Linked DNA regions of Arabidopsis thaliana. The protein of the gene in region 1 interacts with the protein of each later gene in a biochemical or structural test. Each region holds a gene or a part of one and is shown in the gene's direction. Other genes may lie near its edges.

Region 1 (8,042 bases):
ATCATTTGTCACGAAAAATTTCACTATTACTATTAAGACCATTTGTGTTTTTAAACTATTTGTTCTATCAGCGGAAGCGCTGGCCTCCCAAGTGACGGAAGAGAATTTTGCGAACGGACTGATCTATCCGCCTTTTGCAAACATCAGAAAGATCTCTGCTAACATTGCAGCCAGTGTGGGAGCCAAAACCTACGAACTCGGTTAGTTTCATAATTCTTGTTTTTTGATCATATTAAAAATAGGATCAGTCCAAAAAAAAAAATCTCCATGGCAAAAATCTTATGTCATGTACATGTTGTTGTTGTTGTTGTTGTTGTTGTTGTTGTTGTTGGTTTTGCAGGACTGGCATCGAATCTGCCTCGTCCTAAGGACCTCGTAAAGATGGCAGAGAGCTGCATGTACAGTCCTGTCTACAGAAACTTCCGTTAAAACATTCTTTTTAACATTTTTGGCTCAGCTTTTTACTTTTTGCTTTTCAGTTTTGGTGCTTTCTATATACGACAACTTCTAAACTATTTATACTTTTGCTTTAACTTTAAATAATGAAACCTTATTAACTTTTATGAATTGTGAAATAATCCATTACTCATTTCTTTGCCGTACGCGTGTTAGGTTATGGCGTTTTCCGGACATTAAATAAATTTAATTTAGGTAAATCTGCAGTGGAACACAAATGAGACGAAATAATGGGGGAAATAATACAGTTAATGAAAAGAAAAAATAGATTTAGAAAAATGATAAAATTTGTCATTGTTTGGAGTATCATTTGTGAATTTGCCACTTTCACTAAAATTTTGTGGATTTGTCTTTAAGCTATAAAAATAGGATTGACAAAGCGTTTCACATGTGATGTTTGAGTTTAGTTGGTTACTTTTGTTTTTAAAATTTAGTATTTGTTATAAAGTATGTATTTTAGCAAAAACAAATCGTAAATTTAAACTATTCAAATAATAAAACTGGCAAATTCGTAAATTTTGTAAGGAAAATGACAAAATCCGTAATAATCTCCATAATTAATATAAAGTCTTATATATCTTTATAATATATTAAAAAGTATTTATTCAAAAAATATATTAAAAGGGAAAAGAATAAAGCGCAAAGGAGTGTAAAAGAGAATATTTGAAGTGATTTTGGGCCTAAAATTATAATCATTGCAAAGTCAATGATCCCATCCATCATTAATCTTAAAAGTCAAGAAAAGATAAATAAATAACAATAAATTGGTAGATAAAAAGGTAAATTTGCAAGTGGTGGCCCTCTATTAGTAGCAAAGTTATTTATGATAATGATGATTGTTTGATTTCTTTTTGTTAGAATGGTTATACATTCATTGAACATCTATACTGGTTCTTAACCTTTTTCTTTCAAAATGAGAGGCATGCCTAAATGTGTACCGAGTATTAGTAGTTTAGTACCAAGATGTTCATCATAACTTCTTCTTTTGGAACATATTATTTGCCATTTTATTTTTATTTTTATTTTTATTTGTTTTGCTATAAAAATAACAATATAGAGATTTATCCGTCTAAAATTACGTTGATAAAATGTTTAAGTTAATTGGATTTTAGATGTTTAAAATTCTTTTTATATTGTTTAGCTAACAAAAAGCTGATAAAATTTATATAACTCTTAATTTGAAAATTTGTATTATTTATACATTATTTCTACCAAAATGTTTTGAAATATATTATATATTGATTCGTACATATATTTTTCTAAAATTATTAGATAATGTATGATTGAGCATAGATAAATTTAGTTTCTCAGATTAGTTAGCATTAACCTACGCATCATATAAATTATTTTATGTTGTTAACAAAGTAACACACATATTTCTAAACTAAATTCGAGTTATAACAAGACAACAAACTAATCTATATTATTAATTGGAAAGCATTGTATGAACTACAACATTCTAAGAGTAGTTTAAAATTAACTAAATGAATCTTTGCATAGGTAATTTAGTAAATTAACAACTACAACAACTAAATAAATATCTTGGATTTTGTTCTTTTAAAAAATTGAATTTAAAATCAATAAATTCATAACTACCCGATATTTTTGGAAATCATTTAAAAACATTTCCATAACATATCAGGCTATTTTAATTCGAATTGTATATATGAAAATTTATTTATTTTGGTAATATGTTATTAGATAATTCGGAAACTTTAATCTAATTTAATAACAAATTATCATTTAGTTTAGATTTTAAACAATTTCTTTAACAAAACTATGTTAATTGTTTCTCATTAGTACACATAAAAATACGATTTTAGTTATGATTTAGCATATTCAAAAGATAATTTTTGGATTTTAGATTTGTAAATATCTAGAAGATATTATCAGTATAGATTCAAATATTTAACATTTTAATTAGAATTTAAATGATATAAACTTTTAAAGGATTTTTTTAAACATGTAATTTTCATTATTTTAAAAATATATCGCTAAGCTAAATTTGAATTATATGAAAGAAAATATATTTTTAAACGTATTATAATAGATACAAGCTTTTAGAATATTCATTCTTCTAGATTTGATTTTTTTTTAAACAATAAAACAGAGTTTAAAATACCAATGTTTAAAATTTTTAATGCAAATATTCAAAATGAGAAAATATTGATTCACACCAAAAATATTTTTTCTTTTAAATTTGAATGACTTTTTTTTAAGAACAAATAGTAATATGATTATTTTGACAGATCAATAATTGTATTCGAACAATAATAACTACCATATTTGCGATAATGCATAAGGATAAGTTTGATCAAAAAATACCAAAATTGTTGAGATTATAGTAAATTTTAGATTGAAAAAAAACGCAATTCAGATTAGTTTATTCAGTAAAGCTAAGATTGAATCCAAATTAAAATCTAATTTTCCGTACAATCCATCTCTTATAATTATAAATGTTATGCATACATTCACATTGCCTCACAATCAATCTAGAATATCGATTCTTTAAAACAATATATAGAGATTCATAAGTAAAGTACTTCATATTCTAATGATGTTTATCTTCTAATATTACTATCCATCTATGCGTATTCTTATGGATTTTTGTTTCAGGGTCAACACTAGATTATAAGAAACTAGATTATAGTTATACAATCTTAAACAATAAACAAAACAAATATAACTTAATTTAATTTTTTATTTTTAACTAAAATCAACTAATTTAATAGTTTATAAAAAAACCAAATACTATTATTTAACATAAAGACCAAATACTATTATACTTTAATTATAAAAACTACATCTTATTGAAAGGTATACACTAAAAATTGGTTTTATATACTACAATATCATAAATTTGTAAATCACAAATTATTTTTAAATATATTAATCCAAGATGTACCACATGTCGATCCGTCGATTTTTATATATATTAGAATAACAATATTTAAAAATAACAAAATGATTTTCATTTTACGGAATGAAGTTATATGGTGGAACGAGTTTGGGTTGATATTAATACGGGACGATAATCTACGAGTAAAATCTTAGAATTAATAACTATAACATAATTATATAATCTTAAACACTAAACAAAATAAACAATATTTACAAAACAACTATATCTTAAAATTTGAATTTTTAGTTACAAAAAATCGACCAACGGTGTACCGCGGAGTTAAATTTACATTATATCATCTAATTGATCAAATTTCAAACAAAAACAATCAATTTATATATACATCAAACTAACAAAAATACACAGATTTTCCAAATATCTCTATATATTCAGCAAATCCAAACAAATCTAACAATATATTTACCATGCAAAATATAAATAAAATATAAATAATATAAATTAATAAAAAAAGTTAGCTATTTTATCATAATTAACACTGTACACTGTTCTATGCATATTATAATTTATACACTATAATATTTTTAACTAAAAATGTATTCCATTATATTTATATACACGTATGTGCAGGGTCAGAATCAAGTAAAAATTACACTATAAGCTCTGTCATTATTAGTGTGATGATTAGTCATGGTATATTGGTCTCGGACTCTCGGTTAATTAATATAAATCGGCTGAAGAAATTGTTTTGCCCCGAGTTAAAAAGAATAAAACAAATAGGTGATGACCCATGAAAAAAGGTCAAAAGACAAAAGAGAATTTCTAGATTGCCACAAATTTCTAGACAAAAGACACAAGATAAGTATAAACCAATTCAACTATAAGAAACTGTGAAATAGCCACAAATTTTATGTGTCTATTTCAACAGTTTTATTTGTAGTATTTTGAGCGTTGACCCATTTTAGTTATTTTCACTAATCAAATTACAGCTTATTTGATTATATGCCATAGCTATTAAGTTTTTTTAAGATTGAGTTGAAAGATCCTTAAACCATCTTGATATATTTCTAAAGTTATACTTGATTATGTTTAAGATGACTTTTCATGGGTTGGCAATTTCCGTAAATCAATCGATTATGTAACTTGAAAAAAAGGACAAACATTATGGAGGCCAAATTAGAGTAACAAAAACCAAGTTGGTAGTGGACTTTTCGTGAAAAAAGAGAGAATTTGTAGTGGAATTCTAAGTATACATACAATTAATATTTGCAGTACTTATATATCAAATAAAAATAAACAGAAGAAGGTTAGTAAACGAAAACCTACTACTTTACTCCTTTTATTGGTAGGTACTCATTTAAGCATGCCTAGGAATCTCTTTCCTCTTTCTTGTTTCCTTTTCTATGTCGGCCTCTACTCTCCAAGAATGGGTGTGGAGATGATCATATGATGACTATGTTGATGATCACATGATGACACAACCATGCATGATACATTTCTTTGTCTCATGAGTCACGGTGACATACATGAATTTTCTAAAATACATGTGTTACAAATGTCATGCATAAGAGAAGCAATTGTACATAGTTTATATGATTATAGTTTTCATTTTCTAAGTAAGAATAGCATTCATTTTCATTTTTCAATATGATTTTAATTCATGTCACTAGCTAATAAAGGGGTATTACTAATCACTGTTATTTATATATCTCTTTGTTTAAATTGGTTTATGTGTATGTGTTGGATATTCATTTTGACTTTGGTGCTATGGTAGCATTTTAGTTCTTTGGTAATTTTCGGTTACCCACATCTTTTTGGATCGAATTAGAATGATAATGGACACGTCTAGACAGCGTAATAATTTGGTGATTACATCTAAGATTTTTGGAATCATATGTTTTGTAATTAATCAGAGTTATTCGGTAGTATGAGACCCCACACGGCTATGAACCATGTTACCATATATTCTAAGTGGGTTTTTAATTTGATAACCACCTACCTATAACTCTAAATTAGTCTATTGGATTTTTCTAATGATCATCATATAAATTTATTCTCTTTATATAATAGTAATCGTTGTAAATAATATATGTGTGTCTCCCATCAATCCGCATCACATTCGTAGAATCATACACGTATGTAAACGCATTTTTGACATACGGAAACCATACAAGTAGGATCTGTTAGGTGGTTATTAATTCAAAATAAAATCTCTTTTCATTAGAAAATATAAAGAGACTACTTTTATAAAAAGATTGGGATTGTAGTTCCTTGCCAACCACCCATATAATAATACTCCCCAACACCAAAAACACAACACAAACTTAGAAAAATGGAAGAAGAAAAGAGATTGGAGCTAAGGCTAGCTCCTCCTTGTCACCAATTCACTTCCAACAACAACATCAATGGATCTAAACAAAAAAGCTCGACCAAAGAAACATCATTCCTTTCCAATAACAGGTTCTCTTAATCTCTTCTCATGAATGATTTGAATCATTCTTGTTCATTGTAGATGTCTTATATGATAATAAAATAAAAATAAAAAACAAAATCCTGGTAATTCTACAGTTTTCGGAGATTAGTTTGGGTTTCGGTATCTAGTTATCAAAAAGTATTTGTGTATATGTTATAACTAGATATGGCTAAAACAGGGTTGAGGTAGCTCCAGTGGTGGGATGGCCGCCGGTGAGATCATCCCGGAGAAACCTAACGGCACAACTAAAGGAGGAGATGAAGAAGAAGGAGAGTGATGAAGAGAAGGAATTGTACGTTAAGATCAACATGGAAGGAGTTCCAATAGGAAGAAAAGTCAACCTTTCAGCTTATAACAACTACCAACAGCTTTCACATGCCGTTGACCAACTCTTCTCTAAGAAAGATTCGTGGGATCTAAACAGACAATACACTTTGGTCTACGAAGACACTGAAGGAGATAAAGTTCTGGTCGGGGATGTTCCTTGGGAGTAAGTTTTAAATCAAACAAAACTAATTCCATTTTTTTTTCTGGAACTGAATATGAACTTACTTTATCAAAAATTCATTTTATATCTATCTACTTTTGTTTTTGTCGAATTTAACAAATATTTTTAGTATGAGTTCCTAAAAAGAGTTTGGCCATTTCTCATCAGATTATTATTTTCCTTTAAAGGTCATATTTTTGGATATTTATCTGATAATAATTTGAATCATTGGACATATTAATGATATAGTTTACTTTATTTGTTAGGATGTTTGTATCTACTGTAAAGAGGTTGCATGTTTTAAAGACCTCCCACGCCTTCTCACTCTCACGTAAGATTACAATTCTTACGAAACTTTTTCATACATCTCATCACTTAATTACTGCCTTGAAATTAACTTATATATTTATTTATTTTTTCACAGCTAGAAAACATGGCAAGGAATAGAGAGAGGTTGGCCAAAATCATCAGTTCGATGGTTTGTTTTTAATGTAATTTTTGTGGAAACTAATGGGGTTTGGCTTTGATTTACTGGTTTTCTTTTTCACTTATGTACTAGGTTTTTGCTTGCTATGTTATTTCTTGTTTTGGTTGTAAATATGCTGTTCGTTTAAGAAATCGGGGGTTAGTATGTTATCGTGTGTATAAAAATAGTGTAAGCACGTAAGTTGATTACAATGCCTGATATGATTCATGCCTTCGTTTCGTTTTTTAGTAGGGAAAATGGTATTTAATTAGCGAAATCAAACCGACTCATTTTATGTTTTTTTCAGAGAGGTAAAAATCCAGAGAGCCTGTTTACTATGTATGAGTAAAGATTACCCGAAATAATAGAGAAATAGATACAAGAGGCTATCCAAGTTTGGTGGGTTCGAGTTTTATAACACCATCCAAAAAAAATTGTTGTTTTGTAACACACATGAGTACCAATTGTTTATTTCACAAAAGACAAACCATTTATTTCATGAACTGTAATCTTGTTATGTTCATGAATTATTTCGGTATAACATGTAATTAACTCGAGTAATATCTTAAAATAGTATTTAGAGTAAAGATAGTAGGGAGAAAGATACTTTATTTTTTTATAACTCATATAATTTTAAAAATTTCATACACCCAAAAATTGATTATGGAGTATGGAAAAACCATGTTAAATTACTTAAATTTTGGTGGCTAATACTACTCGAACTCAGATGGTGAAAACGACTTTAGACTTCATTAATATAAATATATATATATATATATATATATATATATATTTATATGAGTTTTTACTTATTGTCAATTGGTTTTGGAATTAGTAATCTATGAAACTTAACATAGTATCAGTCTATCAGAGGTTGAACATTCGCTGACCCGTTAATCCAACTTGGAAAATGGTCCGATTACCTCTACTAATTGATGATCCAAAGAAAAACTCAATTATGTCGAGATAGGTAAAAAAACATTATTTTAAAAGAAATAATGAATTTAAAATTAGTAAATAAAATTTAAAATTTAAAAATTCTCCTATAAATTTTGTGTCTCACAACTTTCTTTCAAACTTTTTTTCTTCAAAAATATACCGTATGCTGATGAAATTTTTATCTTTACCAATTAAGAATATAATCTTTTGTTTCCATCTCAAATCATCATCATCACCTCCAAAGCGTTTAGCAACCCCAAAACCAACCACTTGGCGACTACACAGTATTTTACTCAAAACATCACAAGTTTCTATGAAACGTAAAACGATGAGTTTAGTAAAAAAAAACTAGAGATTATAG
Region 2 (7,054 bases), about 11 Mb from region 1:
AATATTGTTTGTAGCTGGATTGAACACACTGCTCCAAACTGTGTTTGGAACTAGATTACCTGCTGTTATTGGAGCATCTTATACATTTGTCCCGGTTACTATCTCAATCATGCTTTCTGGGAGATTCAATGACGTTGCAGATCCAGTTGAGGTTCGTAGCTCACACTTATCCCCTAATTGAATTGTGTTATTATCTATTTAGTGTACTATCACTATCAATAAAGTTATGCTTGAATATGAAGTTTTACTCTAAATTACCTTTTTGATACCTTATCAGCGATTTAAGAGGATAATTCGGGCAACCCAAGGTGCTCTTATTGTTGCTTCAACTCTTCAAATTATCCTTGGCTTCAGTGGCCTTTGGCGTAATGTTGTAAGGTCAGTCTTTGAGCTACATTAGACTCAAATCTTGTTCCACTGTGTCAGGTTAAAGAATATGATATTGAACTTCTGTTCGTCCAGGTTCTTAAGTCCACTATCTGCTGCTCCTTTGGTTGGATTAGTTGGTTATGGCCTGTACGAGTTAGGTTTTCCCGGTGTAAGTCTCTTTGTTCTGTAAATGGGAACAGATAAACTAAATTATATCAACCTAGTGGAATCTTGATTCTTTGTTATTTTGGCCAGGTTGCTAAGTGTATTGAGATTGGACTGCCTGGGCTTATTATTCTCATACTAATATCACAGGTAATTGTAGGTAAAGATTCATAACTGGTAGCAATTTGCAGCCGGCTCATCTGTTCTCATTGCATAAGTTATTGATCCGGATGTGTTCTTCCAGTATGTTGATGTTTCTAATCATCTGGGTCATACTTTTTGCTGGTTTTGTAGTACATGCCCCATGTTATAAAAGGAGGAAAACATGTGTTTGCTCGCTTTGCTGTCATATTTTCTGTGGCGATAGTATGGCTTTATGCTTTCTTTCTTACACTTGGTGGTGCCTATAATGGTGTTGGGACAGATACTCAAAGAAGCTGTCGGACTGATCGCGCTGGGCTTATAAGTGCTGCTCCATGGTAAGAATTTCAGAACAAGGCTTGAACATTGAATGTCTCGCTGAGTTATGTTAGCAAAAAAGTATTTTCTTTAATGACCTGTCAGTGAATACAAGTGTGGCTTAGCATTTTACGCTTATTAATTGTGCAGGATAAGAGTTCCGTGGCCTTTCCAATGGGGAGCACCATTGTTTGATGCTGGTGAAGCATTTGCCATGATGATGGCTTCTTTTGTTGCTCTTGTTGAGGTTTGTTTCACTCATCTTCACCTTTTTTAAATGACATTAGACAATTATTTATGATATGCATAGATTTTCATATCCATTTATATAGAAAGGCTGTCCTTAATAGATGAATTTCATAGGTTGCATACTCATTAACTTTTAAAGTCAATGAGACTCTCTCTTCATTCTTTCGAATTTTCTTGCTCTTTGGTTTAATCTCATCTTGCTTACTCATTATGTTGACTTGTTTGTCAACAAAAAACAGTCCACAGGTGCTTTTATTGCCGTCTCAAGATATGCTAGTGCCACAATGCCGCCACCTTCTGTTATCAGCCGCGGGGTTGGTTGGCAGGTAAATACTCACTTCATAAGCTTCATTTTACAAATACCATCTCGAGGTTTTCTCGGGGCAAGCAAGTGGCCATTTATCTAACGTTGTGCCTCAACTATGTTCTCTTCTGGTTTAGGGAGTTGCAATTTTAATCTCAGGGTTGTTCGGAACTGGTATAGGGTCTTCAGTTTCTGTGTAAGACCTCCTATCCTTTTCCCAAATCTAGGACATGAGCTGATTTTGAATGGTGTGGTGAGTTTGTTTTCACATGAATGCAGCGAGAATGCGGGTCTGCTGGCACTAACAAAAATTGGTAGCAGGAGAGTTGTTCAAATATCTGCAGGCTTTATGATATTCTTCTCAATTCTTGGTAAGCTTGTCTCTCTCACAAAAATTCATTAAGAATTGAAGTGGACTACGTTAAGTAATCGTCTTAAATAAAACTAATGCAGGGAAGTTCGGGGCAGTATTTGCATCCATACCTTCTCCTATCATAGCTGCCTTGTACTGTCTCTTCTTTGCGTATGTAGGTAAGTATTGTTTCTTTTTTAGCTTGGTTTAGATTGAAGCAATTTGGTTCAGATTGGTTTGCTTACCAACATATAGAGCTAGAGACTTGTTTTAGCTATGAGCATCTTTAATACAAAAACTGTTGTATAGGTGCTGGAGGACTGAGTTTGCTGCAATTCTGCAACCTGAATAGCTTCAGGACATTATTCATACTGGGCTTCTCAATCTTCCTAGGCCTATCAATTCCACAATATTTCAACGAGCACACAGCCATCAAAGGCTATGGTCCAGTTCATACCGGGGCAAGATGGTTCAACGACATGGTCAATGTGCCCTTCTCGTCCAAGGCCTTTGTGGGAGGATGTGTGGCTTACTTGTTGGACACGACGCTTCACAAGAAAGATGGTTCGATCAGGAAAGACCGAGGTAAACACTGGTGGGACAGATTCTGGACTTTCAAGAACGACCCGAGAACAGAAGAGTTCTATGCTCTTCCGTTCAACCTCAACAAATATTTCCCTTCTGTCTGAAAAAAAATCCTTCCAAACTTTATGGAATGCTGTTTTGCTAGTTTTGTGTCCCTTAGGAGGACACACCTTATCTAGCTAGGTTTTATGTGCATATTCGGTGAGGAGACTATAAAACGCAACTAGATATTATAACCCAAAGTGTTAAGTAACATTTTAGAAATATTAATGTGATGTTTCTTCTATGTTTAGATGTTTTGCATTAAAGATGATACTCGTTTTGCCAAATTTAGAACTAGAGTATGTATGCTCTGTTTTAATACAAATGATTAAAAGAGAAAATTTTGTGAGTTTTGGAGGCTTTTCGATTCTAATTCTATAACAAAAAAAATTTCCTACAAAAATTTGTAATGCTAGATTTGACGTTGAAACTCTTATGATATACTTTTGAAGATAAGTAGGGGTTCATGTGCTTCATTCTCTGTCGTCCATTTAAACACTTCTTTGGTTGCATATAACTAGTTGATAGGAAGTTAACGATAACTAAAAGTCTAAAACAGATGGTTAGCCACAACGATGAGTATTTGCACACAAAAAACAGAGCCTCAATGATGAATGGGTTTTGTATTTAGTTGTGTTATACTGTATTTGTTTTGTTTGATTGGTAGAATAATATGTGCTTGTTTGTGGCACATATATAAATACATTTTTGACTGATAAAATTTAAAGACGTCATTAGCTAAATCGGTTACCACTTACCACCTTAGGTTAAGGTATAAGAAGTTATAAACTATTGTGAGTTACTTAATAATAATCTACGGATCAAAAATGTTAGAATCCAAAAAAGTGCACTAGTTCGAAATCATTTATGCGGGTCTATACATATAATTCGTAGGAGGTTACTTGAAATGATCCCAACCAATTTGTTCATATTATCTATGCTTAGTGATTTGGTTTAAGACAAAAAAAATTACCCTAACCAATATGGTTAAATTCTCAACTTATCTCGAAAAAAGGGTAGGCAAGTGTCCTACACTATAGAAATGGATAATGTTGATTTTATTGTTTTCTAATTAAAACATTGCTAAAATAGAGATCTGAAGAAAATAAAGAGGACGAAACTGTAAAGTGTAAAAACATTGATGGAGACAAGAAAGCAGAAAAAAAGAGTTACATTTTACTTTCTAGTAAGAAAAAAAAAACATGAATATTAATTATTTTTGTACATAAATATAAGAAGACAAAACAGAAAATTAAAAATAAAAAATAATCCCCAAATAATGGAGACGAAGTGGAGAGAGAAAGCTCCCACTCTCTCACACCCCAAAGCTTCTTCTTCTTCTTCCTCTTCTTCCTCTTCCTCTTCTCTAATCTGAATCCAAAGCCTCTCTCTTTATGACACAAGATCGCTCAGAAATGTCTGAAGATGACGATGACCAACAATCTCCACCGTTGGATCTACCCTCTACCGCCATAGCTGATCCTTGCTCATCTTCCTCTTCACCAAACAAATCTCGTAACTGTATCTCAAATTCTCAAACTTTCCCTGACCATGTTCTCGAAAACGTACTTGAGAACGTTCTTCAGTTCCTAGATTCAAGATGTGACCGTAACGCTGCTTCTCTAGTTTGCAAATCTTGGTGGCGTGTTGAAGCTTTGACTCGATCTGAGGTTTTTATTGGTAACTGTTACGCTCTTTCTCCGGCGAGGTTGACTCAGAGATTCAAGCGTGTTAGGTCTCTTGTGCTGAAAGGGAAACCTAGGTTTGCTGATTTCAATCTCATGCCTCCTGATTGGGGTGCTAATTTTGCTCCTTGGGTTTCTACTATGGCTCAAGCTTATCCTTGTCTTGAGAAAGTTGATTTGAAGAGGATGTTTGTTACTGATGATGATTTAGCTCTTCTTGCTGACTCTTTTCCTGGGTTTAAAGAGCTTATCTTGGTTTGTTGTGAAGGTTTTGGTACTAGTGGTATCTCTATTGTTGCCAACAAGTGCAGGTAAATGTTACAACTTATTGGATATGAAAATGCTATCTTTGAGTAATGTTTTGATAGTTATGAACTTATTGGATATTAATTTGTTTTCAGAAAGCTGAAAGTGCTTGATTTGATTGAGTCTGAGGTCACGGATGATGAAGTGGATTGGATCTCTTGTTTCCCTGAGGATGTAACTTGTTTGGAGTCTTTAGCTTTTGACTGTGTGGAAGCTCCTATCAATTTTAAGGCGCTTGAGGGTCTTGTTGCTAGGTCACCGTTCTTGAAGAAACTTAGGCTAAACAGGTTTGTGTCTCTTGTGGAGCTACATCGTCTGCTACTTGGAGCTCCACAGCTTACTAGTCTTGGGACTGGTTCATTTAGCCATGATGAGGAACCTCAGAGTGAGCAAGAACCAGATTATGCTGCTGCATTTCGTGCTTGTAAATCTGTAGTTTGCTTGTCAGGGTTTAGAGAGTTGATGCCGGAGTATCTTCCAGCTATCTTTCCGGTGTGCGCTAATCTCACCTCCCTGAACTTCAGTTATGCTAACATTTCTCCTGACATGTTCAAGCCCATCATACTCAATTGCCACAAACTCCAGGTGTTCTGGGTATGTATCCTTCTTGATCTATGTCTTCATGGCTTTATTAAGTTATATGTGACTTAACTCTAGTGACCGTATTGTTTGTGTTAGATGGATAGAATGAATAAACTTGATATTAGTTGTGTAAGGAACTTGAGTAAAATGCATGACTTGAACTTTACAATGCAGGCCCTTGATTCAATATGTGATGAAGGACTACAGGCAGTTGCAGCCACTTGCAAGGAACTCCGTGAACTCAGGATCTTCCCTTTTGATCCTCGGGAAGACAGTGAAGGTCCTGTCTCTGAATTAGGCCTCCAAGCAATCTCCGAGGGTTGTAGGAAACTAGAATCTATTCTCTACTTTTGCCAGCGCATGACTAATGCCGCTGTGATAGCCATGTCAGAGAACTGTCCAGAGCTTACTGTGTTTAGGCTGTGCATAATGGGTCGACATAGGCCTGACCATGTAACAGGAAAGCCTATGGACGAGGGATTTGGTGCCATTGTTAAAAACTGCAAGAAGCTAACTCGCCTTGCAGTGTCGGGATTGCTGACAGATCAAGCTTTTAGGTATATGGGTGAGTATGGGAAATTGGTCCGTACGCTTTCAGTAGCTTTTGCAGGGGACAGTGACATGGCTCTGAGACATGTCCTAGAAGGTTGCCCTAGACTGCAGAAACTTGAGATAAGGGACAGTCCCTTTGGAGATGTTGCATTACGGTCTGGTATGCATCGCTATTACAACATGAGGTTTGTTTGGATGTCAGCATGTAGCTTGTCTAAGGGATGCTGCAAGGATATTGCACGAGCAATGCCGAATCTAGTTGTGGAAGTAATTGGATCGGATGATGATGATGACAATAGGGATTATGTCGAGACTTTATACATGTATCGGTCTCTTGATGGTCCAAGGAATGATGCACCAAAGTTCGTCACGATTTTATAGAACGAGGAGCATTTCCGTGTTTCCGTTTTTTAAGACGGGAATGAAATGGGTAAGTGTAGGAAGCTCAGATGATGATGGTGGTGGCATCAGAGGCACACTACATGATTGTTGATGATGAATGATGGTGGTTGGGACTTGGGAGGAATGCAAGATTGTTGTATCATTATTTTCTTTTTTTATTTTTGGGTTCAAAAGATGTTATTTGGGTGGTTAGGTGGAACAGTGGATGTATGTTTTGGGAGCATCGGTGTTAGTTAGACAGCTGAGTTGGTTCTAATAAGCTGCACTTTTGGCTCTCTCTAGTTGTTGTTGTTGAGAAACTAATGAGACATCTCTCTCTTTTGTCTTTCCCATTTTTAATTAATTTTGAGATATTTCATCTTAATCTGTTTAAATTATGTCATTTGTCAGCAAACTATAATGTAACTTCAAGAAAAGATCATTTTGATTCGATTCGATTATTTGGCTTCGTTCGGTTAAAATGTGGTACGCGTAACTAAAATGTAGGGTGAGGGAAAGTGTGGTGGTGGAGAGATATGAGCTAAGGTTCTTATCCAAAGGAAGACCTCTCCTTTTGCCTTTTGTTGACAAGCCATCTTTGTCCCCAAAAGACTACATATTTTCAACTGACAAGAGACCCATCATTTATTTCTTAAAGGTCATAACCAAAACTGAAATAATGCAGAGGATGGTGACAAAAACATATGATGGTGGTGGATTAGAGATAATTTGGAAAAAGGGGGCTTAGATATTAGGATTGATGTGATCATCTTACCTACTCATTAAACCACTTAACCCCAATGTTTTTTATGCTCCCATCATTTCATCCTTTATCATCCTACGGTCACCATTCATCCAACTTTCCATCTCCATTCCCTCTCCTTCCATATACTATTACATAAATAAATAAGATATTGTCTTAGTTTGTTGGTTACATGCATTTGTCCCTTACATAGAATATGTCTTCTTCTGTTCAACTTCAGTTGGACGGTGATATTAGCCACTACCATTTGGGAAGCATTT

Evidence for each region.
Region 2: the proteins of IAA28 (region 1) and AFB5 form a complex in vitro, tested with the Arabidopsis thaliana proteins (one study listed by BioGRID).

What each region holds. Positions count from the first base shown.
Region 1 is NC_003076.8:9,027,832-9,035,873, forward strand, and holds IAA28 (indole-3-acetic acid inducible 28), read left to right. Parts: upstream 1-5,372; 5' UTR 5,373-5,648; coding exon 5,649-5,776; intron 5,777-5,967; coding exon 5,968-6,279; intron 6,280-6,542; coding exon 6,543-6,607; intron 6,608-6,700; coding exon 6,701-6,723; 3' UTR 6,724-7,309; downstream 7,310-8,042. Other genes in the region: NADP-ME3 (NADP-malic enzyme 3), read left to right, coding at 72-200, 341-429. UniProt on the Arabidopsis thaliana protein: Aux/IAA proteins are short-lived transcriptional factors that function as repressors of early auxin response genes at low auxin concentrations.
Region 2 is NC_003076.8:20,333,397-20,340,450, reverse strand, and holds AFB5 (auxin F-box protein 5), read left to right. Parts: upstream 1-3,779; 5' UTR 3,780-3,919; coding exon 3,920-4,521; intron 4,522-4,611; coding exon 4,612-5,110; intron 5,111-5,272; coding exon 5,273-6,031; 3' UTR 6,032-6,554; downstream 6,555-7,054. Other genes in the region: AT5G49990 (Xanthine/uracil permease family protein), read left to right, coding at 1-151, 278-378, 463-538, 625-684, 829-1,013, 1,144-1,240, 1,482-1,568, 1,684-1,742 and 3 more.